5 linked regions of the Oryctolagus cuniculus genome follow. The protein of the gene in region 1 interacts with the protein of each later gene in a pairwise test. Links are inferred from orthologs where the notes say so. Each region holds a gene or a part of one and is shown on either strand. Other genes may lie near its edges.

The links.
Region 2: the proteins of SPRY2 (region 1) and HSD3B7 interact in binary tests that used the Homo sapiens proteins (3 or more experiments, as listed by UniProt). The two-hybrid records come from large-scale screens. The link is inferred for Oryctolagus cuniculus from reciprocal best matches to the Homo sapiens genes SPRY2 and HSD3B7.
Region 3: the proteins of SPRY2 (region 1) and UBASH3A interact in binary tests that used the Homo sapiens proteins (3 or more experiments, as listed by UniProt). The two-hybrid records come from large-scale screens. The link is inferred for Oryctolagus cuniculus from reciprocal best matches to the Homo sapiens genes SPRY2 and UBASH3A.
Region 4: the proteins of SPRY2 (region 1) and PRKAB2 interact in binary tests that used the Homo sapiens proteins (3 or more experiments, as listed by UniProt). The link is inferred for Oryctolagus cuniculus from reciprocal best matches to the Homo sapiens genes SPRY2 and PRKAB2.
Region 5: the proteins of SPRY2 (region 1) and ZDHHC17 interact in binary tests that used the Homo sapiens proteins (3 or more experiments, as listed by UniProt). The link is inferred for Oryctolagus cuniculus from reciprocal best matches to the Homo sapiens genes SPRY2 and ZDHHC17.

Annotation. Positions count from the first base shown.
Region 1 is NC_091440.1:31,925,407-31,931,112, reverse strand, and holds the start of SPRY2 (protein sprouty homolog 2), read right to left. Parts: upstream 3,907-5,706; 5' UTR 3,229-3,906; intron 2,176-3,228; exon of another isoform or gene 1,489-2,175; intron 337-1,488; 5' UTR 286-336; coding exon 1-285.
Region 2 is NC_091450.1:6,168,346-6,174,127, forward strand, and holds HSD3B7 (3 beta-hydroxysteroid dehydrogenase type 7), read right to left. Parts: upstream 3,559-5,782; 5' UTR 3,419-3,558; intron 3,259-3,418; 5' UTR 3,087-3,258; coding exon 2,921-3,086; intron 2,684-2,920; coding exon 2,528-2,683; intron 2,298-2,527; coding exon 2,189-2,297; intron 2,116-2,188; coding exon 2,016-2,115; intron 1,853-2,015; coding exon 1,690-1,852; intron 1,432-1,689; coding exon 1,013-1,431; 3' UTR 459-1,012; downstream 1-458. Other genes in the region: histone-lysine N-methyltransferase SETD1A, read right to left, coding at 4,716-4,889, 4,960-5,097. UniProt on the Homo sapiens protein: The 3-beta-HSD enzymatic system plays a crucial role in the biosynthesis of all classes of hormonal steroids. HSD VII is active against four 7-alpha-hydroxylated sterols. Does not metabolize several different C(19/21) steroids as substrates.
Region 3 is NC_091435.1:3,136,929-3,142,010, forward strand, and holds part of UBASH3A (ubiquitin-associated and SH3 domain-containing protein A), read right to left. Parts: intron 4,510-5,082; coding exon 4,410-4,509; intron 3,088-4,409; coding exon 2,965-3,087; intron 47-2,964; coding exon 1-46. UniProt on the Homo sapiens protein: Interferes with CBL-mediated down-regulation and degradation of receptor-type tyrosine kinases. Promotes accumulation of activated target receptors, such as T-cell receptors, EGFR and PDGFRB, on the cell surface.
Region 4 is NC_091438.1:50,110,508-50,116,383, forward strand, and holds the start of PRKAB2 (5'-AMP-activated protein kinase subunit beta-2), read left to right. Parts: upstream 1-2,647; 5' UTR 2,648-3,046; coding exon 3,047-3,202; intron 3,203-5,876. UniProt on the Homo sapiens protein: Non-catalytic subunit of AMP-activated protein kinase (AMPK), an energy sensor protein kinase that plays a key role in regulating cellular energy metabolism.
Region 5 is NC_091442.1:79,306,337-79,311,418, reverse strand, and holds part of ZDHHC17 (palmitoyltransferase ZDHHC17), read right to left. Parts: exon of another isoform or gene 2,490-5,082; intron 1,623-2,489; coding exon 1,500-1,622; intron 1-1,499. UniProt on the Homo sapiens protein: Palmitoyltransferase that catalyzes the addition of palmitate onto various protein substrates and is involved in a variety of cellular processes.

The sequences.
Region 1 (5,706 bases):
CTGGGCCCTGGGAGGCTGGCGGTGCTCAGGCAGACCATGGAGTCTCTCATGTTTGTGCTGAGTGGAGGGGCGAGGAGCAGGCTTGAGCCCAGGTCTTGGCACCACAGTCGGCCCCTCTGTGTACTCATTGGTGTTTCGGATGGCTCTGATCTGATCCAGGGACAACACGTGTACCTGCTGGCTGAGGGCGTCTCTGGGGTCCAGTTCCCCACGCTGTCTGCCACCGTCACGGGACTCCTGCAGCAAGGGCTGGGACCCGTTGCCACTTTGAGCTCTGGCCTCCATCAGGTCTTGAAAGTGTGGTCACTCCAGCAGGCTTAGAACACATCTGAACTCCTGCAGAAGCCAAGAGGAAAGACAATGGTTTACACTTGGAAGACTCTCCACCCACAACTTCTCACCTGTTCTAGAGAAACAGGGTTTGAAAAGGAGTTGTGGTGGGGAGGTATTGTAACAGCCATAAGACTAATGCACAAAACAAAAAGCAAGAATTATGGCTGGGTACTGACAATTCTGTAATCCTGTGAAATGCGCTGACACAAAGCTGACCTTTGTTTGAATCACTTAAGTAACAATCCCTTATTCAAATAAACACACAATTTGCAAGGTTCAGGTTCAATGTAAAAATTGCAAGAAAGTAACATTGGATTATAACATTGCTACCAACATTTGCAAAAGCTGAATGCCTTTTCAAATTCTGAAATAGGCTTAAATTTGTCATGGCTATTTTTTTTTTTTTGCCTTAAACATCAATAAATGCAGCAGAGAAAATTCCCTCTTGGTTTTTACTTCAAAGCTGTTTTTACATCAGACACGTGCAGTATGATTTAGCCAATATTCTGTGACCTTTTCAGTCCTGCAGGATGAAGATGACATGCAAAAAAAGCAAACGTCCCAAGAACAGTCACAAATTTAACAACAATGTGCCATTTTTATTAACTACCTAGAAGGGCAAGCTACAGAACTAAAAACAAATCAAATCAAACGCTGTTAGGTGCCAGGAACAGATCACAGCAGAGGTACACAACGAGGAACAAGAAAGACAGGGACTTATTCTCAAGTTCTCAGCAACCTGGGGCTCATTTTACAGCCTGATAGCCCGGAACACCTCAGGGTCTGCAGCTAAAGGCTGTTCTCCCCGTTTTAGGCATAAAATGTGTCAAAATCTTAACTTTTCTCCTCTCGGAAAGTTAACAGTCGAGAGCATAAACCCACCGTTAGTACAGGAAACGTGTTTTAAAAACCCAAGCGCCACATCTCAAACCCAGCATTCTGTCCAGCAAACCCGTGGCTCGCAGCCCCTTTTAAGTCTCAAAACTACCATCCCCGTTCCCAACACTACACGAACATTAAAAAGTCAAAACGGGCAAAAGTGCATGTTTCCCCAACCTCCGCTTTTTACAAAAGGCAGCGCCGCGGTGAGCGAGGCAGGTGACAATCGCCTCCCAGCTCGCGACCAGGCAGCGCCTGGAAACCGGATCTCCTCACCTCTAGCAGGACAAGCACACAGGACAACGCGGCGCTCGGCTTCCCCTCGGTCTATCGGCTCTATCTGCGCCCAGACACCGTCCCCGGCAGGTGGGACACAGCCGGAGCCCGGGGGACTTTTCTCCAGGCTGACTGACGCTGTCCAGGGGCCAGGGGGCCCCCAGCCCCGCCGCGCCGGGGCCGAGACGCACCGACCGGCGGGGGGCGCGGGCGCCTCGGAAGGGGACGTGTCATGAAACGCACGAGCACACTTCCCCCGCCTGCCCCTCCCCAGCTCCCGAGAACCGCCTGCCAGCCCCAAGAGGGAGCCGCGCACCAGCAGGCAGAGGTCACGCAGCCCACGACGCGTCTGCAGGGGTCCGCGAACGTGGAGCTCAGGTTTCCAATGGAGCCCGGGGAGTCTGACCCACGCGCACGCGGCCACTGCACGCCGCACCGACTGAAGCGGGCATGGCTTGTAGCGCGCACGCCGGTCTCCTGGGTCGAGGGGAAGGGAAACAGGAATGATCTGTTTCTTAAAGTTTAATTAAAAAAAAAAAAAAAAATAACCCGTCCCCCTCCCCCAGGGCCCAGAGCCTACGCCAGGCGTGCAGGATCCAGTCCCTGGGTTGGAAACTTTAGAGGTAGATTTGCATACAGTGTAAAGTAGCATCTTTGGGAAGCGGAAAAAAAAAAGTGATTTCTGCCGATCCCCGGCCTCCTCCTTGCAGCCCCCCCTTTCCCCCTCGGCTCTCTCCCCGTCTCCCCGGTCCCCCCTCCCTCTCGAAGTGCTTTGAAAACCCCATTAAGAACAGTGTGTGATCAGACTGAGGATTAGGGGGGGAAAGGACTTCAGCACTTAGGGTGGGGCAAACCGACACAGAAACCGCTTTGTAAAAAAAAAAAGTGCACAAGATCCCAAATTAAACGACAGCGACTACAACATAAACCGGAGAACTTACAAACGAGCCTCATCTGCCACCTACTTTCAGGTCATGCAAAACGATCGCACACACTCGATGACTTTCCTAATGTACTAGGTCAACCCAAGCTCTCCCCTCCACCCCCCCCCCCCCAAAAAAAGCGTGACCCAGGCCGATCACGGGGAACGGAAAAAGGAGAAAGCTGCACTTCCGAACCGCAGAGCCTCGGCGCCAGGCTGGGCGACGCTCCCACCCTCAGTGGGCCAGACTGTCCACAGAGGGCAGCGGCGGGGGCTGCCTGCACCACGCACCCTCGCCCCTTTTCCACCCGCGGGGCCTACTGCCCGCGTGGGGCGAGCACCCCACGCACCCCGGCCCCACCGGCGCCCCCGCCCCGGGACAGGCTCCCCCAGAAAACTTTGCCTCGCAAGGAGGGAGGAACAGGTTAGAAATGCTAGCGCCCGCAACGGCGGCCAGAGAAGCACAAAGTGCTTTCCCTCCGTCTCCCGCTCTCAGCGCCGAATTCGCGGTCGACGCAGGGCTGGGAACAGACCAGGGGAGAGCCGTCCTCCGACCCAAGCCCACAGCGCGCGGGAGCGCAGGGTCGCCGGCTGGGGGACATCGCTCGGGGCGCACACTGCAGCCCCCTCCCAGGCAGGCCGAGCCCAGGTCCTCGGCCAGGGAAATCTGCCGGCAGCTCGCCGGCAACCTGCGGGGTTTGAGAAAGCGAGGCTCGGGGGAGAGGCAGACCCCACTCCCGGTCCAACTGCACCTACTCCATGTTGCCCACACCGCGCCAGCCACGGCGCCAGCAGAGGAAGAGCGAAACGCGCCTCACCGTGATCGCGGCTTTGCACCAACCCCTCTCCCTTGGAGTCTCTTCTTTCTGCGATGTGCAAATAAATCCAGCCCCGATGCAAACTTTTTTTCCCCCCTTTTTTTCCAAACTTTGCTTCAGTCCAACTTTCGAGCAATCGGCGGGAGGAAACAAAACAAAACAGAAAAATACGAGCGAAAAATTCGGAGCCAAGTCCCTCGCCGATGAACAACTCCGGGTTTCAGGGCTGGAGGCGAGCCCCCTTGCAGAAGCGCACGCGGAGTATTTCCTTTTTTTTTTTTTTTTTTCTCAATGAACAAGAGGCCGAAGCGCCAACAGCGAGTCCCCGTTCTTGGCAGATGAGCGAATGAGAAAATAAAGTGGCCTTACAGAAAGACCCTAGAAGCCAGATCGCCAAGGCGTGCGGCCCCGGCCGCGTCGGCGCAGCGGTGGCACGGAGGCGCGGGCGGCCGCGAGCCGGGCCGGGCGGGCGCGGGGGCCTGGGCGCTGCGCGCTCCGCCGGCCCCTCTCCTCCGCTCGCGCTGCGGCGCGCAGCTCTGGGCGGTGCAGACTGGGCGTTGTGGAGGCTCGGCAGCGAGGCCGAGGCGGGGGCGGTGGGTGCCGAGGAGGAGGAGGAAGAGGAGGAGGAGGAGGGGGAGGCGGAGGAGGAGGAGGCGGAGGAGGAGGGGGGTCTGGGGCCCGGCCGGGGGGGCTCGCTGTTGGCCTGCGCCCTCGCCTTTCCGGAGGAGGCAGGGAGTTCTGCGGCGGCCGCGGCAGCAGTAAATGGCGTCATGTGGATCCGAGGCGGAACAGAGCAGTTGTTGTCCCAGAGGATATATCGCATCCGGTCCCAGCTCATTGGCTCCGCGGGGCTACATTCACTCACACTCCAGCGCCCGCCAGCGCGCCGAGCCGCAGGAGGCATTCAAAAGGGCAACCGCGCCGCCCCGCGCGTCCCCGGGCCGCTCCTGCCGTCCCGCGGGGCGCCCGCGGAGCCCGGCTGCGCGCGACGGGGTCGGTTTATCCAGCTTCAAGGAAACACTGACCTTAAGGCCCCCCCCAACCCCCACCCCTGACACCCCCCGAGGCCAGGAGGATGAGCCGGAGGCTCGGACTGATTTATGGAACTTTCTCTCGCCGCCAGAGAGACTGATCGGGGCCGTGCCGCGTTAGCAATGAAAAACAAGTTGCAGGTTTTTAAGACTTCATCCGGAATCCATTTCGAGTCTGCTCGCCCCTCGGCTGCTCCCCCTCTACACGGTGGGGGTGGGGGAAGGGGAGCGGGAAGTGCGGTGGGAGGGCTATTGGTTTATTCTTTGTCTCCCGGATTAACCCGATTATACACCAGGCACCGGCCCCAGCCGCGCCTCCCCCACCTCCGAGCCTTGTACGAGAGGAGCGGAATGCAGATTCGGGTTTCAAGTACCTCCTGCTCAGGCTGGATTGTGGCGACTGGGAGTTTATTAGAATTTTCGTGTTTTAAGGGAGACAGACGGTGGCTGCAGGGAGAGCTCTCTGCGTCGCCGGACGCAGCAGCCGAGGGAGAGGCTGCAGCCTTGCTCTTCAAAGTCAGCTCGGCGATCTCGGGGCGCTGTCGTGGGCTTCCGAGATGGGGGTGGGGGGAGGGCGCTCCCGGCGCGGGTCTCTCCGCGGCCCGGTCAGCAGTCATCTGTCCCTTCCCACCCTTCTCCGGAAGCCCCCACGGCCCGTGCTGAAGGCATTCAGTAGAAAGTCCTATACATATGCACGTGCATTTGCTCAGAAACGTGCCTGCACGTGGGAGCCCCGGTGGCGGATCGAAATGCGCGCACGCACACCTCTAACCGCGCATTCTGAGGACTTAAAGGCGGGGAAGCAGTTGCCTGCTAGGTCGCAGGTCCCGAGCAGCACCTGCACAGCTCTGCCCCACACGGGGGTCCACCATGGCGCTTCGTTCCTCCACGCGACCCCGGGTTCCTGCTGCAGAATGTCCCTGGCGCTCTCCCTGCCTTCTCCATGTTTCTCTAGGGCTCCCTTCCTTCCTCCCCTGGGATTTGGAACCAGAGATGGGCAAGGGCAGGCGCCTACGTCCCCCAACTGCTCTGGGAAGGTCGGACGAGGTTATGTCTGCCCGCGACGCGGCGTCCTTGGGGCCGCGGGGGTGCGACAGCCGGGCCTCTGGCCCGGGCCGCTCGCCACTTGTCCGAGTCTATCCAGTCTGCGGGGAAGAGTGGCGCCTCTGCGCGTGTGGCTCGTCCGGCCACCAGGGGGCGCTCGCCCGGTGCCGGGCCAGGCTCTTTTTTTTCCCCAGAAGTTGTCCGCTGGCGGGGTTGCCTTCCGAAATGCGCATTAGACCTGCTGGTTTAAAAGGAATAAAAAAAAAAAAAAGGTATTTATCCTGTAAACGCCGCTCACGGTGGCTTTCCCTGCGATTCCCTTGGATGCACTCCGTTTTCAGTGTGAGATGAGTTGTCTTGGTTCCGAGAACTGCAGCTGAAACCTAGGGAAAGGGAGCCTGGT
Region 2 (5,782 bases), on another chromosome or scaffold:
CGTGACGTAGCCGTGTTTGCTGACATGAGCCCTTGCCCCCCCTTCTCCGTTTCTCCATTGGTTTCTAGAGCGCTCTCCCTCCCCTCCCCAGAGGGGGACAGGACTCCTGGGGCCTGGCTGGGGGGCCCAGAGCCAGGCCACCCTCTCCTGTTAGCCCTGAGTCCCATTTCTCTCTATTGGTGACCAAGTTGCAAATGGATCAAACAGAGACAACTTCTGTCCCCACCCCCGGCCCTGCATGTCCTGTCCGCAGAGCGTCCCCACCCCCAACCCCCCGGGCCGGGTCGGGCCCTGTGGGACGGGAGAAATAGCAACCAATCCAACAGCGGGTGTGCCGTGTGCTCACTGCTTCTGTCCCTGCGGTGGAGGGGGGCTGGTGGGGGGCGGGGGGACAGTCGCCGTGCGGAGGGGCAGACGCAGAGCGGGCTGGGGAGCTAGACAGACTCCATGACGCAGGCTCGGAGAAGGGTTTTAATTCAGGGCTCGGGCAGGGACAGCTTTCCTGGGCTACAGCAGGCCCTGTGAGTCTGGGTGGAAAGAGAGAAGTTGAAAAATACACTCAAGTCTTCAGCCTGTGCTGACGGGAATTAAATGATGGCTGCATACAGGTGACACATGTTTGAAAATCTTGCAACTCCAACTGCCCCAGGAGGGACAGGTGGGAGGAGAGACAGAGAGGCCGCTTCACTCTGTGACCCTGGGCCTGCAGGTTGCGATCACCCGCATCTGGGAATACCAGCACCTGCACCAGCACAAGGCCTGGGGCGGTTCCGTGGCCTCCTGCTTGGGAAGCCAGAGATGGAAGTGGAGGACACCGGGGACTCGGCCCCTCGCCAGTTGGCCTAGAGGTTGAGAATGAAGACACGCCTGTCCCCACACCCTGCCTTAGAGCGTGGGAGTCTCAGAACAAAGCCACGGACTTAGCGCCAGAGCCGCCTGGCCATCCATGGTCCCATCCCTTCCAGGCCTCTGTGGCTGTACCGGGAGGGCCTCCAGACCCCCAGGCCCGACGTCAGTGGGCAGAGCCCTCCCCCGTGGCCTGCACCCAAAGAATGGTGCGGGTCCGGCTGTCCTCCCAGGAGAACAGGGGCTCGTAGCCAAAGTGGCGCCGCGCCTTGTCGGTGCTGACGGTGAAGGTGGTGTTGGCCACGGCCAGCGTGTAGGGGTTCAGCAGGGGTGCGTAGAGCAGCAACGGCCGCAGCAGCCACTGCAGCAGGGCGTTGAGGGCAGCCAGGAAGACCAGCAGCCAGTAGGGCAGCAGCGGGCGGGAGCCCACCAGCCGCAGTCCGCAGGGGCCCAGGAACTCCATGTTGAAGTCTTCGTAGCTCTTGTAGGGTGACTTGTCATAGCAGAAGTACACCTGGCCGCCCAGGAGCACCGCCCGCTGCTGCAGCTCCCGGGCCACCAGCACGTGCATCCAGGCCACGTTGCCTGTGGTGGTGGTGAGGGGGGAACGCGTGGCCCTGAGCGCCCCAGCACCCAGGCAGGTGCATTCCTGGGCCAGCCCATGCATGAGCCACTCCCTATTGGGGCTCGCCATGCCCCGCCCGACCCCACCCGGCCCCTGCAGCCTGGTCGAGAGGCTAAAGCTAGGACACACGCTTGCGTGCACACCATCCTTGCTAGCCGGGGTAAGCCCAGCGTCCCCACCGCCTGATCTTGGCCTCCCCAGCCCAGCCCACTCCTCACCCACGTAGACCCGGCCATGCTCCACAGACGCTGGGATGGCCCGGAACAGCCGGCCCCCCAGGCGCGAGCCCTGGCGGTAGAAGTCTCTCATGATCTGGTGGCCTTCACCGTAGATGCCCGTGGGACGCAGGGCACACGTCACCAGGGGCAGCCCTCCACGGACCTGGCGGCACAAGGCAGACTCTGCTAAGGACACGGAACCAGTGGCTTGCCCTCTGCCCCTGGGCCTCCTCGGGCTGGTGATAGCAGGGACGTGGGTCCCAGGCCAGGCCCTGCCCTGGCGATGGGCCAGGCCCCATCGCCGCATCTCACTCCCCGAGTCCCACCTTCCTGCCATTGGCCTCCAAGACCAGTCGCTCGGCGAGGGCCTTGCTGCACGGGTAGGGGTGCTTGTGCACGGCCTCATATGGGGTGTCCTCGTTGCCCCTGTGAGGGGAGAGGGAAGACTCAATGCCGAGGGGGAGATGGACTTCCGGGAGGTTCGGGGACCTCAGCTCACCTGTAGAAGGGGTGGCCTTTGGCGTTAGGACCCACGACCTCCATGCTGCTCGTATAGACCAGGAACTGAGTCCCAGCCTGCACACAAGCTTCGATCACATTCTGCGTGCCTGGGGGAGGGGGGGGTAATCCAAGTTGGGGCTTCTTCCCTCTCAGCAGCTTTCCCTTCCCATCCCAGGACCGGGGGTGGGGGGCACGACCCACAACAGGTCCCATGAAGCTGGGACAGGAGTAGTGAGCAGTCACCCATGGAGCATTGGTCACAGGTTGCCCCAGCAGAATCCCAGGTCAAGGTCAGAGTGAGGGAGGTGAACAAACAGACAGGATCAGGCCGCCGTACCCTGCACGTTGACCTCATGGATGGCCTGGGGACTGGCTCTCCCAAACACGTCCACCAGCCCAGCTGTGTGGATGACCACATGGGCTCCGGCGACAGCGGCTGCTACCTCGTGGGCCTGGGTCACATCCCCCTGGATGGCAGTCACCTGCACAGGCCCTGGTGGGAACCGGGGAGGCCAGAGGGCCAATGAGGGCGGGGGCCACTGGCTGCCGCTGGCTTCAGCCTACACCCTTGGAAGCCACACGTTCCCTATGTGACTCACTCGTCCCATCCATGTGGGCTACAGAATATAAACAGGGCTCATGTTTTCCACCAAGGAGGGAGGAGCCTCCCTGGGGAGTCTATCCCTCCACACACACACACCCCCCCCCCCCCCCCCGTCGCCCCAATCACCTGTCTTCAGCTCCTCCAGCCAGGGGCTCAGGTGTCGGTCAAAGACCCGCAGCTCACGGAGCCGCGGCTCCCGCTCCAACAGCATTCGTACCACGTGTCCCCCCAGGAAGCCACAGCCACCTGTGACCAGGTACACCAGCTTCTGGGCCTGGGCAGACTCTTCCATGACCCCGGCTCACTTGTGCTGCCTGCTGCGACCTGCTCGGGGCCTGCTGGCCCTGCGGGCTGGAGGGCAAGTGGGTGGGCGGGCGGAGGGGCAGACCTGCTCTCAGATGCCGTTCGGCTGTGGGCGCGGCAGCCGGGTCACCTGTCCTCGGAGCCTGCCAGCTGCAGAGGTGCTGAGAGGGGTGGGGGGCCAGGGTTTGAGGGGGGTTGGGGAAAGAGGTTTGGGGGACAAGATCAGGAGAGTGGGGAGACGGGCAGGGAAGGGTATGGAAGGTGGGAGGGGCCGGGCTGCTGGGGCCTTGGGCTGCCCCCCTTCACCCACCCCCCACCTACCTGCGGCCACTGTCCCGGGGAGCCCAAACTGGCCACCAAAGGAGCTGGCCGGCCAACCTCATACCGTCTTCCTTCCGCTTGCTCCTCCTCCTCCTCCTCCTCCTCCCTCCTGGCCCATTCCAGGAACGGAGAGCAGCTCAGCCTCCACCCCCTCCACCTCCCACCCTGCACACTTGCCACAGGGCACCCCCTGGTGGCCGCTCGGCGCTCCGCTGGCGTTTGGATCCTGCAGAGAACTTGGGGAGAAGGGATGGAGGGGCCGGGACCTGCTGGATGGGCGCTGAGGGCTTTGGGGACCTCGGGATGGCGCCAGCAGGGTGACCTCATTCCCAGGGCCTGACCTCAGCCTTCCCCGCCTGCTGGATTTCCCAGGAGGCCAGAGGCCTAGCAGCAGCTGTGCTTCTGGGAAGGAAAGGGAGGCCTGACCTTGGCCCCGCTCTGGCTGGCCCTGGCGGGGGATTCCTGGCACAGGGTGGCAGCTGGTGAGGTGGTCCTGCAGCTGGCTCTGCAGGTCTGCCCCCTTGCCTGAGCCAAGAGCTCCCCCACCCCCGCTTGGCCTCTCATCCGGCCCCACCCTCTGTCCTCCACCCCAGCCCACCCTACTCTTCCCCAAAGATACTGACCAAGCACTTTTTTACAATAAAGTTTAATCACAATTATAAAAATGTGGCGTTGGGTTTGCGCTATTAACATATATACAGTCCAGCCCAGCACGAAGGGCCCACCCACCTCCCCCACCGTCCTGGCCAGGCTCGGCGGGAGCCTCCAGGACGGCGGGGTGTGGGGGGCATGGCCCGCAGGGGCTGGCAGGAACAGAAGATGAGGCAGGGTTCCAGGCACGGAGTCCCCAGGACTGGGGGCGCAGGGCCCCCAGGGGGAGAACATGGCCACTGCCCCAGAGACCCCTAAACCGGGGAGGGGTGCGCGCAGGGCATGAGGGGAAGTCCCCATGAACACAAAGCAGGAGGGCTGGGCAGCCCCCCAAGAACAGGATCTGTACAGGCCGGCACCCCAGGTTTCCACAGGAAACAGCTGCTGGCAGCTACGAAACATTTACAGCTTCTTCTCCGCAAAGAAACAAAATGGGGGGGGGGGGACGAGGAGGGGAGCTTGGGGGGACGGGGGAGGCAGAGCTGCCTCGGGGACTGAGGCTCCCTCGCTGGGCCCAGGGCCCCCCGAGCCCCGCACTCGGGAGAAGGGGGCACGTGGGCCCTGCCGGGCCCGCTAAGGCTGGGGGTGCGGGAGCTCAGGGCACCAGGGCTTATAAATAGGGGTGTGGGCACAGGCCTGGCCCACCTCAGTTGAGGGAGCCCCGGCAGCTGTCGGTGCCGCACAGACACGGGATCTTGGTGTCCTCCAGCGGGAACTTGTAGTCGTAGGTGATCTCCTCATCCACGCCGATGGGCTGCTTCGAGTAGATGACGATCTTCTTCTGCGCCTCGATGGTGATCACCTTGGCGTAGCAGTTGGGCTGCGGGACGGGCAGAGTGAGCCGCGGCCCGGCGCCCCGCCCGCCCCCCGCGGCCCGGCTCCCCGCGCACCGTGCAGCAGTGGTTGATGAAGCGCGCCAGGTTGCCGCACTTGGTGGCGTCGATGATGGTGTCGTGGTCCACGCGGAACAGGTAGCTGCTGCCGATGCCCTCCTGCACGTAGCGCTTCTCCCGCATGTCGGCCACCATCTGCGACGGGACGGGGTCAGGCGCCTGCGCCTCAGCCTCCTGCCGGCCCCTCCAGGGGTCGTCCACCAGCTACCGCCCCGGGCTCCACACCGGCCGGGCCGGGGGCCGCAGCGCCGCCTCCCGCTCCCACAGCCCCGAGGCGGCGACTTGCCTTGGCTTCCGGGAGCCCTCCATCCTCGCCCTCTGGCTGCCATCCCGCTAGGGAAACCTGCTCTGTGCCCCGGGCAGGGGAGCCGCTGGCTCCTCCGAGCACCTGCCTGGTCACAGTGGCACCCCGGCTGCAGGGGGCTGGGGCAGCTCCGGAAATGCCAGCAGCCACTTCACGGACCACCCCTCCTCTCAGCTCCTAGGACCCTCTCTCCACAGCGGGCACCTGCTGGCCACCACCGGCCAATGCAAAAAGCAGGTGGGCTGTGTGAGGGCCCACCCGCTGGCGGGAAGGCGTGCTCTAGTTCCCGGGGCCGGGCTGGCGAGCCCTCCCCGCTCTCCTCGGGTGATCTCACTCCCTTCCAGGCTTCTCCCGCCAGCCAAGTGGCGAGGACACCTCCCAAACACCCTCTCCAGCCAAAATCCACCTCAGTGGAGCTGCTGGGTGGTGCCCCCGAGATGTCCCGGGCACCGCGCGCTCCCCCAGCTCCTCCCCGCCCCTGCTGGCTACTGGGAACACCCCGAGAGACGGCCTCAC
Region 3 (5,082 bases), on another chromosome or scaffold:
GCGAACACAGCGGCGATTCGGATGCCGCTGGCCTGCAGTGCGTCCCCTGGGAGAGAGCAGGTGGGAGACGGCCCTTCGGAGTTCCAGCCTGCAGTGGGAGACTCACCCCCTGCGGCAGGAACGGTGCTGAGACGGCCTGATCCCACCCTGTGGTCTGTGCACCCCACCTGCCTCCCTGGGGTGTAGGCGGAGCCCGTGATGACCGTACACTAAGCGGCAGCGGGAGCTGATCCTGGGGGACTGCCCAAGCCAGGAGCACCCCAGACGCACAGATTCCCTCCAAGTGGGCCCGGAGAAAGCCGGAGAGCTCTGAAGACGGCTGTCGGCTTCCCGGGGGAGTGCCCTGGGTGCCCGAGGAGTGTGGCGGCCTCAGGAGCTGAGAGCCAGCACCAGGCAGGCCCAGGCCCACAGCCACAGGGCTGAATCCTGCCAGGAGCCTGCGTGGGTCTGGAAGGAGCCCCGGCTCGGGATGAGACCTCAGCTCAGCTGACTCCTGGTTCAGGGCCCTGGAACCCTGGGACTCAGTGCCCTGAGCCTGCGCTTCTGGTCTGCAGAGCTGGGGCCGTAGGGCCGCGGCCACTTGTTCTGCAGCATCAGGAAGCCCAAGGCTGCCCCTGTGCCTCAGAGCCCCGCCCTCTGGGAAGCGGGGAGTCCTGGGGCACACAAGCTACAGGCGAGGTGTGGGGGCCGTGACGGGTGGAGCTGTGTCTCCCTGGGTCCTAGCCCCTGGCATCTCCGACTGCCACTTTTTGGGAAATGGGGTTCTAGAGGGCGGCTGCACCCGGCCCAGCTGTGAGGTCACAGCCGCGGTATTCAACCAATCACAGGTCCAAAGATCTGGGAAAAGACTGCACCTGTGCTAAGCCTGTACCGTTTCCTCCTGTGGTTACTCCCTGGATAGTATCGTGTGACAGTTTCGCACCCAGCGCTCGTGTTGTGTGCGGCACCACAAGTGGTCTAGAAGACTTGAAGGGTCGGGAGGCTGTGTGTGGGTTCTGTGGCCCCTGTGTCACTTCACTCAGGGACTCCGGCTTCTGCAGGCTGCCCTGGGCACCAGGGACGCCGTCACCAAGTCACAGGGAGGGAGGTCTAAGCCCGTGTGACGGGTGGACACAGCGACACCCACAGGACACGAGGAGAAGATGCTGCCCGCAAGCCAGCAAGAGACGCCTGGGACACACAGCCCCGGGGGCCCAGCCGCCTGGACTTTGGGGCCCCAGCCCTGCGGGGCTAGGCTTGTCCACTGTTTAAGCCACCCAGTGTGGGCTCCATATTGCAGGAGCCTGAGCAAGTGAGGGCAGAGGCCAGCCAGGAAGGGCCCACACAGACGCCCACGCGTGGGTGCTCACACACACACACACGGAGCGTACACACACACACACACACACACACACACGAGCTGGGGGCATGCAGCCGGCTGGGAGTCAGGGGTGAGGCTCGGGGCTGCAAAGCTGAGTGACAGGGCGGCTCTGGGTCCTGGGAAGGCCCTCAGCTGCTCTGCTGTGTGCGCATGCACACACACACATACACACACACGGAGCACACAGGGCTGTGGGGAGTCAGCCCACACTGCTGTGCACACACACACACACAGAGCTGTGGGGAGTCAGCCCACACTGCTGTGCACATACACACACACGGAACCTACACACACACACACACACACACACGGAACCTACACACACACACACACACGGAGCCCCCCACACACGGAGCCCACACTGCTGTGCACACACACACACACACACGGAACCTACACACACACACACACACACACGGAGCCCCCCCCATGGAGCCCACACTGCTGTGCACACACACACACACACGGAGCCCACACTGCTGTGCACACACACACACACGGAGCCCACAGCTCACACCGCCCCGGGCAGCTGATGCCTTCTCTTTCCGACTGCGTCCGGGGCCCTCTCCCTGGGAGCTGAGATCAGCCGTGGTGTGAGGACGGCACTCTCACTCGGAGATCAACCAACGCTCCACACTGGGGCCAGCGAGCAGGGCAACCTGGCCGGCCAGGCCCTGGGTGGGCAGCAGGCCAGCTGGCCCTGGGTGGGCAGCAGGACAGCCGGGCCCTGGGTGGCAGCAGGACAGCTGGGCCCTGGGTGGGCAGCAGGACAGCCGGCCCTGAGTGGACAGCAGGACAGCCGGGCCCTGGGTGGACAGCAGGACAGCTGGGCCCTGGGTGGGCAGCAGGACAGCCGGCCCTGGGTGGGCAGCAGGACAGCCGGGCCCTGGGTGGCAGCAGGACAGCTGGGCCCTGGGTGGACAGCAGGACAGCCGGCCCTGGGTGGGCAGCAGGACAGCCGGGCCCTGGGTGGCAGCAGGACAGCTGGGCCCTGGGTGGGCAGCAGGACAGCCGGGCCCTGGGTGGACAGCAGGACAGCTGGGCCCTGGGTGGGCAGCAGGACAGCCGGGCCCTGGGTGGACAGCAGGACAGCCGGGCCCTGGGTGGACAGCAGGACAGCCGGCCCCTGGGCTCCCTGCAGGGAGCAGCTGTGTGGCCAGGGATGCCCACTGGCCTCTGTGATTCGAGTTTCCGAATCCACACAACGAAGTCCAGACGCACTCGGGGGTCTCTCTGAGCCAACAGCGGAGTGGAACACAGCAGAACCCCAGCCAGAAAGCAGGGCCCAGCGTGACAGAATTCGAAACAACGCCGGCGAGGGACGGGGCTGTTAACCTGAGCCACCTCCTCAGCACCCGGTGGGGTTGATTTTTCCTCCCTCGCTTGCCCGTCCTCCGTTCCTCCCGGCTCCCCACACCGCCCGGTGCTGGGTGGGACACGCTCCTCCCCGCTCGGTGACTGTGCGTGAGACCTGGCCCTCCCCGCCAGGCTTCCTCCTCCTCCTAGACTGGGAGTGAGGCTGACGCTGACACTGACGCCCAGGGCAGGCGGCAGGGGCTCCCTCCGTGCAGCTGGGCCCAGTTGCTAGGGCCGTTACCCCCTACCTGCCATTCTGGCCTGGAAGACCCCGCAGGAGGACAGCGGCGGGTCGTTCTCGAAGGCCTTGAGGCCGCTGCTGCGCCGGGGCAGGCTGCCGGGAAAGTTCAGGTCGGGCCGGTGGTACCTCCCTAGGGCACAGAGGAGTGTCAGCGGCCCCGGGTCCTCGCGCAGGGCGGACTTGCCCCACAGCACCCCAGGCCGCACCCCCGTGGCGAGCAAGGTCACCGCGTCGCTTCCCGGGGGCTGGGTGCTCAGACGTGGGTTCTGTCCCGGGACAGAGCTCCGGCCCCTCGGTGCTCCCTGGCTTCTGCAGAGGTGCCCCCACTTTTCCTGTGAGTGTCTGTGATGGACGTGGCTTACCTGGACAGTCATCTCAAGTCGACCTCAGTTAATCGGGTGAAGCTGGACCCCGCCCCCGGGGCTGCCCAGAGCCACGGCTGCTCAGCCTGGGGGTGCCCGGAGGCTGCGTGGGGCACCTGTGCTGGACCTCGGGCCGGCAGACCCCAGCCCTAGCTGCTCTGCGTGCTGTCTAGAAGCAGGTGACCTAACCTCTCTCCTCGGAAAAGTGAGGACGTGGAGGGCCAGGGAGCTAGTGCCCAGAGCCTGGTGCTGAGCTCAGGGACAGCGGGAGGTGGGCTGCTCTGTTCACCAGATGGTGCCGCCAGCCCGCTCTGCTTGGCTCACAGCCACCAGGTGGCCCAGGCGTCGGCTTCTGCAGCACAGGGCAGCTGAGCCGGCTCCCTGTGTGTGAGTGTCACTGCCCCCTGCTGTCTGGTTCTGTCTCCCTTAGGCCTTACTTCCTAGGGGCAGCCATGTTCTGGGCCCTGCGAGCCCTTGGTGACAGCTCAGAGCACCCCCTGGTTCACCCACGGCCCCTCCTCTGGGCCAGTCCCGCCCTTGTGAACGGACTCTGTCTCTCTGGGGCGATCCCTTAATTTATGCAGTCAGCCGCGGCTTGGTGGCGTAACTCAGGGCTCTCCTTTGGAGTGAGCATTGCCAGGGGCATGGGTCACCCGTACAGGGTCCACCTTGTGTCCACCGCACGGTCCTCAGTCCCAGGCAGCTGGGAGCGCAGAGCTGAGAACAAGAGCCCTGTGTGCCTGTCAAGCTGCATAGCAGGTGTCGTGGGATCGTGGCAGTGGCAGTCAGGATTAGCTGGGAGAGACCCAGAGAGGCGACAGGGGCCGGGGGCCGTGTGGCAGCTGGGGGGTTCAGGGGCGGCACCGCTGTGGTTGCTAAGGTGTCGTGGCTCCACGTGCACTCGCTGGCTCCCTGCACCCACTGCACAGACGTCCTGCACGTGCAGGTGCACCCCAGCCTGCACCCCACGTGGCACTGTGGTCATCGTCGTCACAGACGATGGGCCCCGGGGTCGGGCACCACAGAGGGGATCTCTGGTGTTAAAAGGCCGGGGCACTGCTGTCTGGAGCTTCGCCTGGACGCCACCTACCGTCCGGGGTGCAACACTGCTGCAGCCATGACTTCCCGAAGACCTGGTCCACTCGCTCCCCGTGGCGCACCACCAGCACGCGTCTCCTCGCCAGGGCGGCCTGCGGGGAGGGAAGCGAGGCCCGAGCCGCTCAGCGTCCAGGGGTGGCATGGTGAGTCCGCCCCACCCCAGCCTCAGCGCAGGCCCTCGATTCAGGGTTCCGGCCACCAGGCCCCGGTGACACCGAGAGGGGCTGTGTTAGGCACTGGGACACGGAGCTGCAGTGCCTGCCGTGGTCCCTAGGCTGGTGCAGACCTCCCTGGGGCGAAGGGACAAGCAAGGGACGCTGTGTCACGGGGAGGGTGGGGGCACAGTAGTCGGAGTCCTCCACGGGAGGTCAGTGGGGGCTGCTGGGAGCCAGGATGGACAGGGTGGGGAGGGCATCGCAGGAGCCAGCACGTGTGCCCCTGCACCTGCCCAAGGCCTTGTGCCATTGGCCACTTCCTCCAGCAGGTGTCTCTGTTCCTTGGGAAGTGGCAGGGGCTGGGGGCACAGGCCGCCCGCTTTGCAGGAGTTCCTGGGGCCACACCAGAGGCTGCTCCCGCCAGCCCCCGCCCGGCCCTGTGCAGCGAGCCGCACAAGGCAAGCCGGACCCCTGCAGCCTGGGGGCCCCGACAGTGCTCCGTGCTCCTGC
Region 4 (5,876 bases), on another chromosome or scaffold:
AGAAGAAACCACTCTCACGGCTAATCCGGTCCTTCGGGAGGCAAAATGCACTCCCTTCTCTGGGCTGGCAGCAGTCCATGTATGAGGGTGGAAACCGTGACCCGAACACCTCTCACCAGACACTCCATCTCCCAACACTGCTACGTTGGGGCCAACACATGAATTCTGAGGCCACACACTCAAACCACAGCAGCCACATACAATAGAAAAACCCCAAATAACAATGGCCTACACAGTATTGAAGTTTACTTCCCCGTCATCTAAAGACGTCTGAAGGTAGATAGTCCTGAGACAATAAAACAATTCCACAGCTCTTCTTTCTGCTCCACTACCCTCACCATTTGACTTCCACCTTGTGGTCCAGACTGGGTGCTAGAGTTCCAGCCATTACATGAACATTCTACACAAAAGGAAAAAGAACTATAAGAAGAAGAACATGCCTTTTTCTTTTAAGGAAACTTAACAGAAGTACAATATAATATTTCCACTTAGATCTCATTGGAAGAACATAGTCAATATATCTACCTACCAGAGAAGCTAAGAAATGCATCTTTTTTTTTCCCAAGAAGCAATGGGTCTAGGTAAAAATCAAAGTACTATTATTAAGGAGGAAGAGAGGATGAATATTAAAGTAGAACTCCAGCATTCTTTGCCAATGGCTTTTCTTTTTATTTTTTAAGTTTTTTTATTTATTTTATTTGAGAGGTAGAGTTACAGACAGTAAGAGGGGGAGACAGAGAGAGAGGTCTTCTTTTTGTTGGCTCACTCCCCAAAAGTCCACAACAGCTGGAGCTGTGCCGATCCGGAGCCAGGAGCCAGGAGCCTCCTCCCAGTCTCCTATGTGGGTGCAGGGGCCCAAGGACCCAGGGCATCCTCTACTGCTTTCCCAGGCCACAGCAGAGAGCTGGGTTGGAAGAGGAGCAGCCAGGGCTAGAACCAGCACCCATATGGGATGCCGGCGCCACAGGCTGAGGTTTAGCCTACTGAGCCAGGGCGCTGGCCCCTCCAATGGCTTTTCGACTTGGTTTGGATATGATTTGTCCTTGCCAAAATTCACGTTCAAATTTAGTTGCAATGTAGAGCTTTAAGGAGTGATTAGTATCTGTCTCATGAGATTGGTCTAGTTCTTGCAGCCTGTGTTAGTTCTCAGGAGTGGGCTGTTAGAAAGCTGGTTGAGGGGCCAGCGTTGTGGCATAGTGGGTAAAGCTGCGGCCTGTGATGCTGGCATCCCTTATGGGTGTTAGTTTGTGTCCCAGCTGCTTCCATTTGGGCACTGGATGGAGTCCGGGCTGCCCCACTTCCAATCCAGCTCCCTGCTAATGGACTGGGAAAAGCAGCAGAAGATGGCCCAAGTGCTTGGGTCCCTAGCACTCATGTGAGAGAACTGTATGAAGCTCCTAGCTCCTGGGAGTGAACCAGTGGATGGAAGATCTCTGTCTCTCCCTCTCTTAACTGTGACTTTTAAATAAATAAATAAATAAATAAATAAATAAAAAGATTTTGGAGGGGTGAGCAAGAGACTGCAGTAAAATGGTACTTTTTTCTCTGTAAATTGTCTGTGGTTAAGAGCCAGAGAATGAGTTTACAAGGGGGCAAAGCAAACCTCTCTCTACAGATAGAGCCCCTCACTCATAAAGATGGGTGGGGTGCCTTTGGGTCCCCAATCACTGGCCATTTTCAAGCCTAAGTCGCATATCTTGTTAGAAACGTGTAACGGTATGCATGTCCCCTTCACTCTGCCAATGCTTGGTAAAAAGCTTTGTACGAGGTGCATGCAGAATACAGACAGAAATCACACGTGGTTCCGCTGTAGGCCAGCTGTCAAAGCACCCTCCTCACAGTCCCAGGTGGTCTTGTTAAAGGGCGGAGCCTGATTCCCTATGTGGGAATGGGGCCCGGGAGTCCGCATGTCGAACAAGCTCCCTGGTGATGCCGGGGCCGCTGGCGGACACGAGTATCCCAGGCTGACAGAGCTTTGCAGTAGGGAACGAGACACGGATGAGATAATAATACACAGCAAGGATCCGCAAAGGCCCCGAACCTCCATTCATGATCACAAAAACGGGGTCCCTCCCAACCCGAGGGCTGTCTGTGCCCTTATTATACCTTCCGCGTTCCTTCTGATGGGTTTTGCTGCTGCTCTGTCTCCGGAGTGTTATTTCTTCCAGGGGTGCCCACCGCACAGGTTCATTCCGCTAACATTTCACTAATCCTCACGGGCTAGCGGCCGATCACTCCATCTTGAGCTCTTCCCGGGGACCCCAGTCGGGCTGACTTCTCTCCCCCGGTACCCAGTGTTCGCGTCCAGGGACAACCACTCCTTCCTTCTGCTCGGGGCCGAGGTCCGTTCTCATTCCCTGTAGGAAGCCACCTCTCCGGGTCGCCCAGGGCCATGACGCCGCGCACACCACGCCTGTGGGGCGCCTGAGGCGGGGTGAGGACGCCCGGGGAGCGGCCGCCGCGGGTCCTCCCGGCAGCCTGTTCCCACGGAGCCCACGCCCCGGCGGTTCCGGACGCCGCCTCCCTCCCGCCCTTGTGCCCCCGCGCGGCCCGGCGCTGGCTGCGGCGCGCGGCTCACCATCGAGGCGGCGGCTAGAGAGGCGGGCGGGCCGCAGGGAACGCGCACGGGGCGGGCCCCCCGCGCCGCTGGCCTTGTAGCCATTTTAGGAGGAAACCAGGGGCGCTAGCTCGGGGCGCGGCTTCAATTTCAATAACTTTATTGGTGGCGTCACCCGCGGGACGGCCATCGCGCCGGTGGCCTGGACAAGAAGGAGCGCATCGCCGGAGGTGGTGACGGGCGTGGGCGCCCTGGGGCAGGCGGCGCGGGCTGCGGGGGAGGTCCCCATAGCGGTTCCCTGAGCCGGGGCCGCGCCGAGGCCCGGGAGTTGCGGGGGTTCCCGCAGGCCGGGAGGGAGGGGATTCCCTCGCCCGGGTCCGCGGGCGCAGGGGCGGGGCCGGGGGCGCCGGTGACGGACGCGGCGTCTGGGGTGTTCCCCGCCCGGTGTGGTGCCCCCGCGGCAGGTGGCCCCCGACTGGAGCCGCGGTCATGGGAAACACCACCAGCGACCGGGTGTCCGGGGAGCGCCACGGCGCCAAGGCTGCGCGCGCCGAGGGTGCCGGCGGCCATGGCCCGAGCAAGGAGCACAAGATCATGGTGGGGAGCACGGACGACCCCAGCGTCTTCAGCCTGCCTGATTCCAAGGTAAGCGGCCTCACGCCCCAAGACGTCGGCGGTGCTGCAGCCGGCTTGGTTTCGGGCTCCTCCCTTGCTGGGTTCCTTCTCATGACACTGAACTGGGTGATGGGTTTTTGAATTAAAAGGGATTTTCCGAGTCGAAGGTGTTGGATGGTAATTCCTCTTACGGTGCTGCTTCAAAATAGGGCGAGGCGGCGGAATTCTCTGACTAGTCTCTCCGCCACGTTTTAAAGGATGGGGACAATAGACAGCCGCCGTTTCGGGTACCCTCTTGGAGTGTTGATGAATTTGCAGATTGTAAACTGGGTGGGGAAACTTCGCAGGGGAGGTGGCAGTTTTTCACATTGGCCCTGAGGGTGGCTCAGTGAATTTCATTTTCCTGAAAATGTCTGTGTATCAGTGTCATCTTTGCCTTTCTAGGAGCTCTGCACTTGAAATTCTCTTCCCCTTTGGTACGGCCGTGAGCCGCGACTCCTTGCCTTCTTGACTACTTTGTCCTAGGCTTGGGATCAGTAGGACGTCATTTGGTTGACTGCTTTTGCTTGGTCCAGCACTGGTGTGGTGGCCGACACCCAGCTGCTTGCTGGGAGGGCAAATGATTCCCAGTCCCCTCTCCTCTCCAGGAGAACTTGAGAGTGTTGCCCGTGGCTGAAAACACCCACCCCCAGCTGCCCCTCTGAAGCGCCTGCTCTCAGTTCCTAGGACTTCTGGGAAGACCAACTTGCGTTCACACTACAGAATGGACAGATGGCGCTGACAGCCATATGATTCCAGAGCAGTGTCTAATCACTCTTAGAACTGTCGGCATGAAATGCATTTAATTTCTCCAGTTGGGCTGAGTAGGGTGAAATAGAACAATGGAGAGACAAAGATGGCAGGGTCTGATGTTTTTATCACTTCATCACTTTCGTCCAACTAGGGCCTCTGGGCAGAAAGAGATCCTTATTTGCCACATTGCTAGTACAGGAAATTTGCATGCTGTGGTTTCTTTATCTTCTGGAATCCCCATTGAGAACAGAATCACAGACAGAAAAGAGAGTGATTGAAAGGAGTTGTTTTGGGATTTCTTTTCTGGTGCTTTTTTTCCCTTTCAACTTGAGAATTTCTTCCCCATCATTTGGGCTGTCTCCGCAGCCACCTGAATTTACTTGTTCAGAATTTTCCCAACGTGATCTGCCTCCTGTGTTTTTACCCTTTTTTGATGTTAATGACTCAGGATTTAAGAACAGTGTGGTTGTGAAACTGTGACTGCAGCATTTGATGGCCTCAATAAAAGCTAGGTTGTTGTGTCTGAATTGGGGCCTATTTTGGATCATTTTTTCCCCCACATTGCAGTCTTGCCATTTGTGATATTTAAAAATTGGCTTATGTAATTCCTAAGGTTTCATCCAACTCAAAAATTTTGTAGTACTCCATCTACTCTCTCCTTTCCTCAACATGTTTCTCACCTATTTCCAAACTATGGCTCTAGCTGTTGTTTTGCCCCTTTTCCTGTTGGTTTTGCCGACTATTTAACTTGGAGCAAATATTCTTGCTGCCAGTCGGCTGCATCCGTTCCTACCACAGAAATGTTGTGTCATAAGTGGGAGGGCTTTCCTCCGAAGCTAGGCATATTAATAGTCCATAGCTTTCAGATTCTGCACTGAAGATCTGTCATAAAAGTAACTGACGGAAACAGTGGTGGGAGGCCCAGAGGGCTCCAGGTGCCTGCCTCCATCACCAGACTGGTTGGGTGGTTCTTAATCCTGGTTGCACATAAGAATAACCTGAGATTTGTTTCAGTTATGGTGACTCTGAAACCTTTACCAAGTAGCAAGAACAGTATAATGAACTCTGTGTACCTGTCAGCCATTTTAAACAATGACCAAGTCATGAATGAACATGTGTCATCTAAGTCCCAATCCACTGTATCCTCACCAAAGTATTTTGAAGCACATTGTAGACATTGTATCGAGTATTGTATCATAACATTTTATAATGTGCTAAAGGTGATTTTTTCGCTTTTAGTAGAAAGTCACACTGTTATTATCAGGGAAGATTTTTAGAAGTAGATTACCAGCTCCTGTATCTGCCTCAGAGCCTGAGAGTTATTGTTAGGTCTGTTAAAAAAAAATCCTGTGAGTCTGATGCAGCCAGTCAGGCAGGAAGGCATTGCTTTGAGAACATGAGGACCGGGGTTTTCTCTTAAGCCTGAATTATGCTATTACTGGGGTCTCATACTTAGTTTTGAGGAATATCAAAAGGCGCTGTGGGGTCAGCAGTTTGGGGCAGCATTTTAGAATGCCACTTAGGGTGCCCATATCATATTGGAGTGTCTGTGTTGAAGTCCCTCTGTTCCCTGCTAATATGCACTGTGGGTAGCAGCAGGTGATGGCTCAAGTACTTGGGTCCCTGCCAGCTGTGCGGATTTTCTCTACCTATGTGGACTGGGATTGAGTTTCTGGCCCACCCCATCAGTCTGAGTCATCCCTGGCTGTTGTGAGCATTTAGGGAGTGAACCAGCAGATTGGAGATCTTTCTGTCTGCCTTTCAAATAAAATAATAGTAAATAAATAAATAAATAAGTTCTGAAAAAGGCAGTATATGGAAGGTAGATTACCTCAACCATTTTGAAACAAATGCCCAAATGAATAAGCTAGTCTTTTTTTTTTTTTTTTTTTTTTTTTTTAAGATTTATTTA
Region 5 (5,082 bases), on another chromosome or scaffold:
TGCTTAATAACATCATAATAGCTTGATATCCTCTGAAATAAATGAGATCTAGCTGTTTAATACAATACTTTCTCTGGGACTAGTCAATGCATTAATTCTTGAGCATAAACTATTTTAAGGCATTTGATTAACAGAGCTGCTGTTCTGGCTCAGTAGGTTAAGCTGCAGCTTGCAACACTGGCCTCCCGTATCAGAGAGCTGGTTTGAATCCCAGCTTCTTTGCTTCTGATCCCAGATTCCTGCTAATAGGAAACTTGCCCAAGTACTCAGACCCCTGCTACCCAAATGGAACACCAAGATGGAGTTTCTGGCTCCTGGTTTTGGCCTGGCCCAGACCTGGCTGTTGCAATCATTTAGAATGTGAACCGGTGGATGGACTATCTCCTCTGTTACATTAGCTTTCAAATAAATAAATAAATCATTTTTTAAAAAGGCATTTGATGTCAAATACTTGGCATATGTTGATCACTTAAGCTCTGAAGCTGTTTTAAGTAAGGATTAATGATTTAGATTACTATTTCTAGTGTACATCATTTTAAACGCTGAATACACTCATGCTTAATTCAGAAGTTTTGTGCTTCATACAAATACTTGTTACAGCAGTACTTTTAAAACATTATACAATAAACGGCCAACTCCACTTATTATGCAGAATAGTTCAAAGTAACTTAACAAAGTATTTCCAGAATATCAAATTATAAAGAGCACAACTATTTAACTATTCATAAATTGGTTCCTAAGATACCCTGGAAGACATTATATAATGCTGAAAATGGTTTGTGAATGGTTATACTAGAACTAAAGAGAAGTTAGTTTTGAATGAAATATACTTTCTTGGGGCCAGCGCTGTGACACACAGCAGGTTAACGCCCTGGCCTGAAGCACCGGCATCCCATATAGGTGCCGGTTCAAGACCCAGCTGCTCCACTTCCACTCCGGCTCTCTGCTGTGGCCTGGGAAAGCAGAAGATGGCCCAAGTCCTTGGACCCCTGCACCCATGTGAGAGACCTGGAAGAAGCTCCTGGCTTCGAATCAGCACAGCTTCAGCACAGCTCTGGCCATTGCAGCCAATTAGGAAATGAACCATCAGATGGAAGACTCTCTCTCTCTCTCTGTCTCTCCTCTCTCTGTGTAACTCTGACTTTCAAATAAATGAATAAATCTTTAAAAAAAATAAAAATAGAAATATATTTTCTTAAAAATTCCAACTCAAATTAACCTCTTTGACTTTAGTTTCCATATCAGTAGGACAGGGTACCTGCTGTATTTTACACAGGATTACTTCAAGAATTAAGATTAAAGGAAATAAAAGTATTCATTACAATACATGGCTCAGAAAAGCAATCAATACATATTAAAAGCAATTTTCATCAGGAAAAAAGGTACGTAAAATCTAATATTTTAAAAGCCATGACTTTTTAGAAATTATTTTTATGATAAATATTTAATAATTTATAATAAAAAAACAACTACTCATTAAATATACAGGAAACACATACTTGACTAAATCTATTCTGTTATTGATGGCAGCCCAATGGAGGAGTGTAACATTTTCTTTGTCTGGTTGCCGTACATCATAGCCTGCTTCCACCAATTCTCGACAACGTTCATATATTCCGTATCTTGAAAAGAAAGAAAATAAAGCATTGTTATTACCACTTAATAAATTTAAAGCTGAAAATAATATTTTCCAAAGAAATTAATGCTACATTAATACATGAAAATTAAAACATTTTTTCAACATAAAAGTGATTTTATCAGTATTCTAAAAGCTTTCACTAATCCATTTTACTTTTAAAATGCTTCATTTACAAGACTGTAAAATCTCATTAGGTGCAAAAGTATATCAACAATAATATTCAAAGAGCTGCTAATTTTTCTTTATGTCACCATTTGCATCACAAACCACTGTGAGATTATAAAAATAACTATGCTAAAATATTAAATATATAAAAATCAGCAGAAAGGAGCATATAATAATTTAGAAGAAAATCATGAAGAAAGAATTTTTTTCACAAGTTCCAGGATTCACTTTTGTCAAATTTAGCATTGGAATTAATACTTTCTGAAGGCAAACAGAAAAGGGTGAGGTAGGGTACAAAGTGGGGTGAAAAGAAAAATCTTCTGACCTAGCACAAGCCAATGAAACGAGAGGAAAGATGTGGTGGCATCTATTTTTTTGACTTCTTAATAATTATGGAAATTTTTAAACATAAACTGAAGTAGAAAGAATAGTACAATAAAACATGATCTATCACTGAGCCACAACCACCATCAACTTTATCCAAGGCAAAATACTGAGTCTTTGGAAACGACACAAAAGCAAATTTAAATAAATTTGGTGATATTTCTAATTTATTCAAAGTAGCCTCTAAAATGGGGGTGGCACATCACACTGAAAGCAAACATTAGAACTTCTACCTATATTCATATCTTATTTAACAGAGAAATTCATTTTACTAACATTTAATATTTAATATTCACCAATATTTTCTTTTAATTTTTATTTATTTTCATTTTATTTCAAAGATAAAGAGGCAGAGAGGATCCTCCACCTGCTGGCACTCTGATATGGGATGAGGGCATCCCAATAAACATTTAAGCCACTGCAACAAACAGCTACCCCATTACTAACATTTCATTCTGCTATACTTTTCTTGGTTCTGTTTTGCATCTGTGAGCACACACATACACACACGGGATAACCAATCTAAGGGAAAAGCAGGAGTTTCACAAATCACAGGAGATGACAATGGTACCTCTATTTGTTTGCCTTGTTCAGAAAATTGTTTACATGTATCCAGTTATGTGAACTAACCATACCTTTAAAAAACAGAATCTTGGGGCAAGTGTTTGCTACAGTAATTCAGACAGCATTTGCGATATCTGCATCCCACATCACAGTGCCTAAGTTTGAGTCCCAGTTCAACTTCTGATTCCAGCTTCCTAGCAGTAGGATATGGCTCAAGTACACAGGTCCTGACACTCACATGGGAGACCCAGGTAGAGTTCCAGGCTCTTGCTGTTGCAGGCATTTGGAGAGACAATCAGTGGAGGAAAGATCTCTCTGTATCTCTCTGCCTTAAAGGAAATGATAAACAAACCAACCCAGAATCTTCCTGACAATTCAAATAAGATAGTAATGATTCTGCAAATCTTTTTTTAACAATACAGAGAATCAAAGGTTATTTTCTACACACCTAAAAGTGAGTATGAAGGGTTTGGAATTGGGGTATAGCAAGTTAAGCCACTGCCTACAACACCAGAATCATGTATGAACACTGATTCTAGCCCCAGCTGTTCGTCTTCAGCTCCAGCTCCCTACTAATATACTTGGGAAAGCAGTGAAGGATGGCCCAAATACTTGGGCCCCTTACACCCACCTGGCGCTGCAGGCTACTGGCTTCAGCTATAGGATTAAAATGTTTCATAATTTAATTTTTTAAAAAACCAGAAATTAATGGATTAACACATAGGATAACTAGAATGGTATGTGAATGATAAAGAAGATGCAAGATGTTAGAAGATGGAAGATGCTAGAATACACTTTTTGATGAGAAATAATGAATTAGGGTGGGAGAGATTAACAACAAGATAAAGAAGTTAGCAAAAGGAGCAAAAGAAAAAGTGGACTCTGGGAGTAAGAAAAAGAACCACATGATAGACAGGTGTGCAGAACTGGTGATAGGATGTGAATCCAGGATATGAGGTACTTAACTGTCCAAATATATAATGTCAGAGAAAACAGGCTATCAAAAAAAAACAAAAATAAACTAAATAGGAACAACTATTCATGAAGTCCCATAAAATCTGACATGCATTTATGATACCTGGCATAAGAAGTAAGAGAAAAATACAAAGTTACTTAATGTGTAAGTATCTGCAAAATAATTATTAACACTGGTATCATGCTACCCATTATATTACAAGAAACATGATTGAAAGAAAAAGGCTTCAAATTTTTGGTTACTTCCATATGTAATTAATAAAGCATAATTATAAACTTTCACTATGAATGTTCCTTGAAATAAAGTAGAACAGGGCAATTTGTTTACTAAATGCTATTGGAACAAGTGAACTTTGTACAAAACACTGAAGAATGAAAGATTACATTAGAGGACTAAAAACCTCTGAAAAGTTTGTCACTCTGCAAAAGCAATGAAAAACTGGCAAAAATTTGCAGAATTAACTTTTCCAGAACTCAAATTACAATACTCAAATGTTCTCAAGAACCCAGAGAACCTTGCTATGAAAAATACTAAAGAGCTAAAGGAAATCATATCTAAAGAACTTAAAGCAAAGTATAAAAACAATGTCTTGGCTGGCGCCGTGGCTCACTAGGCTAATCCTCCGCCTTGCGGCGCCGGCAAATCGGGTTCTTGTCCTGGTCGGGGCGCCAGGTTCTGTCCCAGTTGCCCTTCTTCCAGGACAGCTCTCTGCTGTGGCCAGGGAGTGCAGTGGAGGATGGCCCAAGTGCTTGGGCCCTGCACCCCATGGGAGACCAGGATAAGTACCTGGCTCCTGCCATCGGATCAGCGCGGTGCGCCGGCCGCAGCGCACCCGCCGCGGCGGCCATTGGAGGGTGAACCAATGGCAAAGGAAGACCTTTCTCTCTGTCTCGCTCTCTCACTCTCCACTCTGCCTGTCAAAAAAAAAAAAAAAAAAAAAAAAAAAGAAAAACACAATGTCTCACCTACTGAAGACTATCAGTAAAGAGAAATTATAAACAGGGCTCATAGAAATTCTAGAGGTGAAAACTACAGTAACTGAAATGAAAAATTCATCAAGCAGGCCAACACTGTGGTGTACTGGCTTAAAGCTGCTGCCTGTGATGCCAGCAACCGCTACTGAAGCACAAGTCCAAGTCCAGACTGTTTCACTTCCTTTTTTTTTTTTATTGTGTATATTTTTATTTCTTCAAATTATTTATCAGGAGTGACTGAAATAAAAAAATGTAATTGAGTCCCATCATCATCATCATCATCATCATCATGGAAATGGCTTTAAGAGAAAACTGGTCAGAAGAATATTATTGCTTCCCATTTTCAACCAGCACATAGTTGCTTTTGATAAGACAGACAA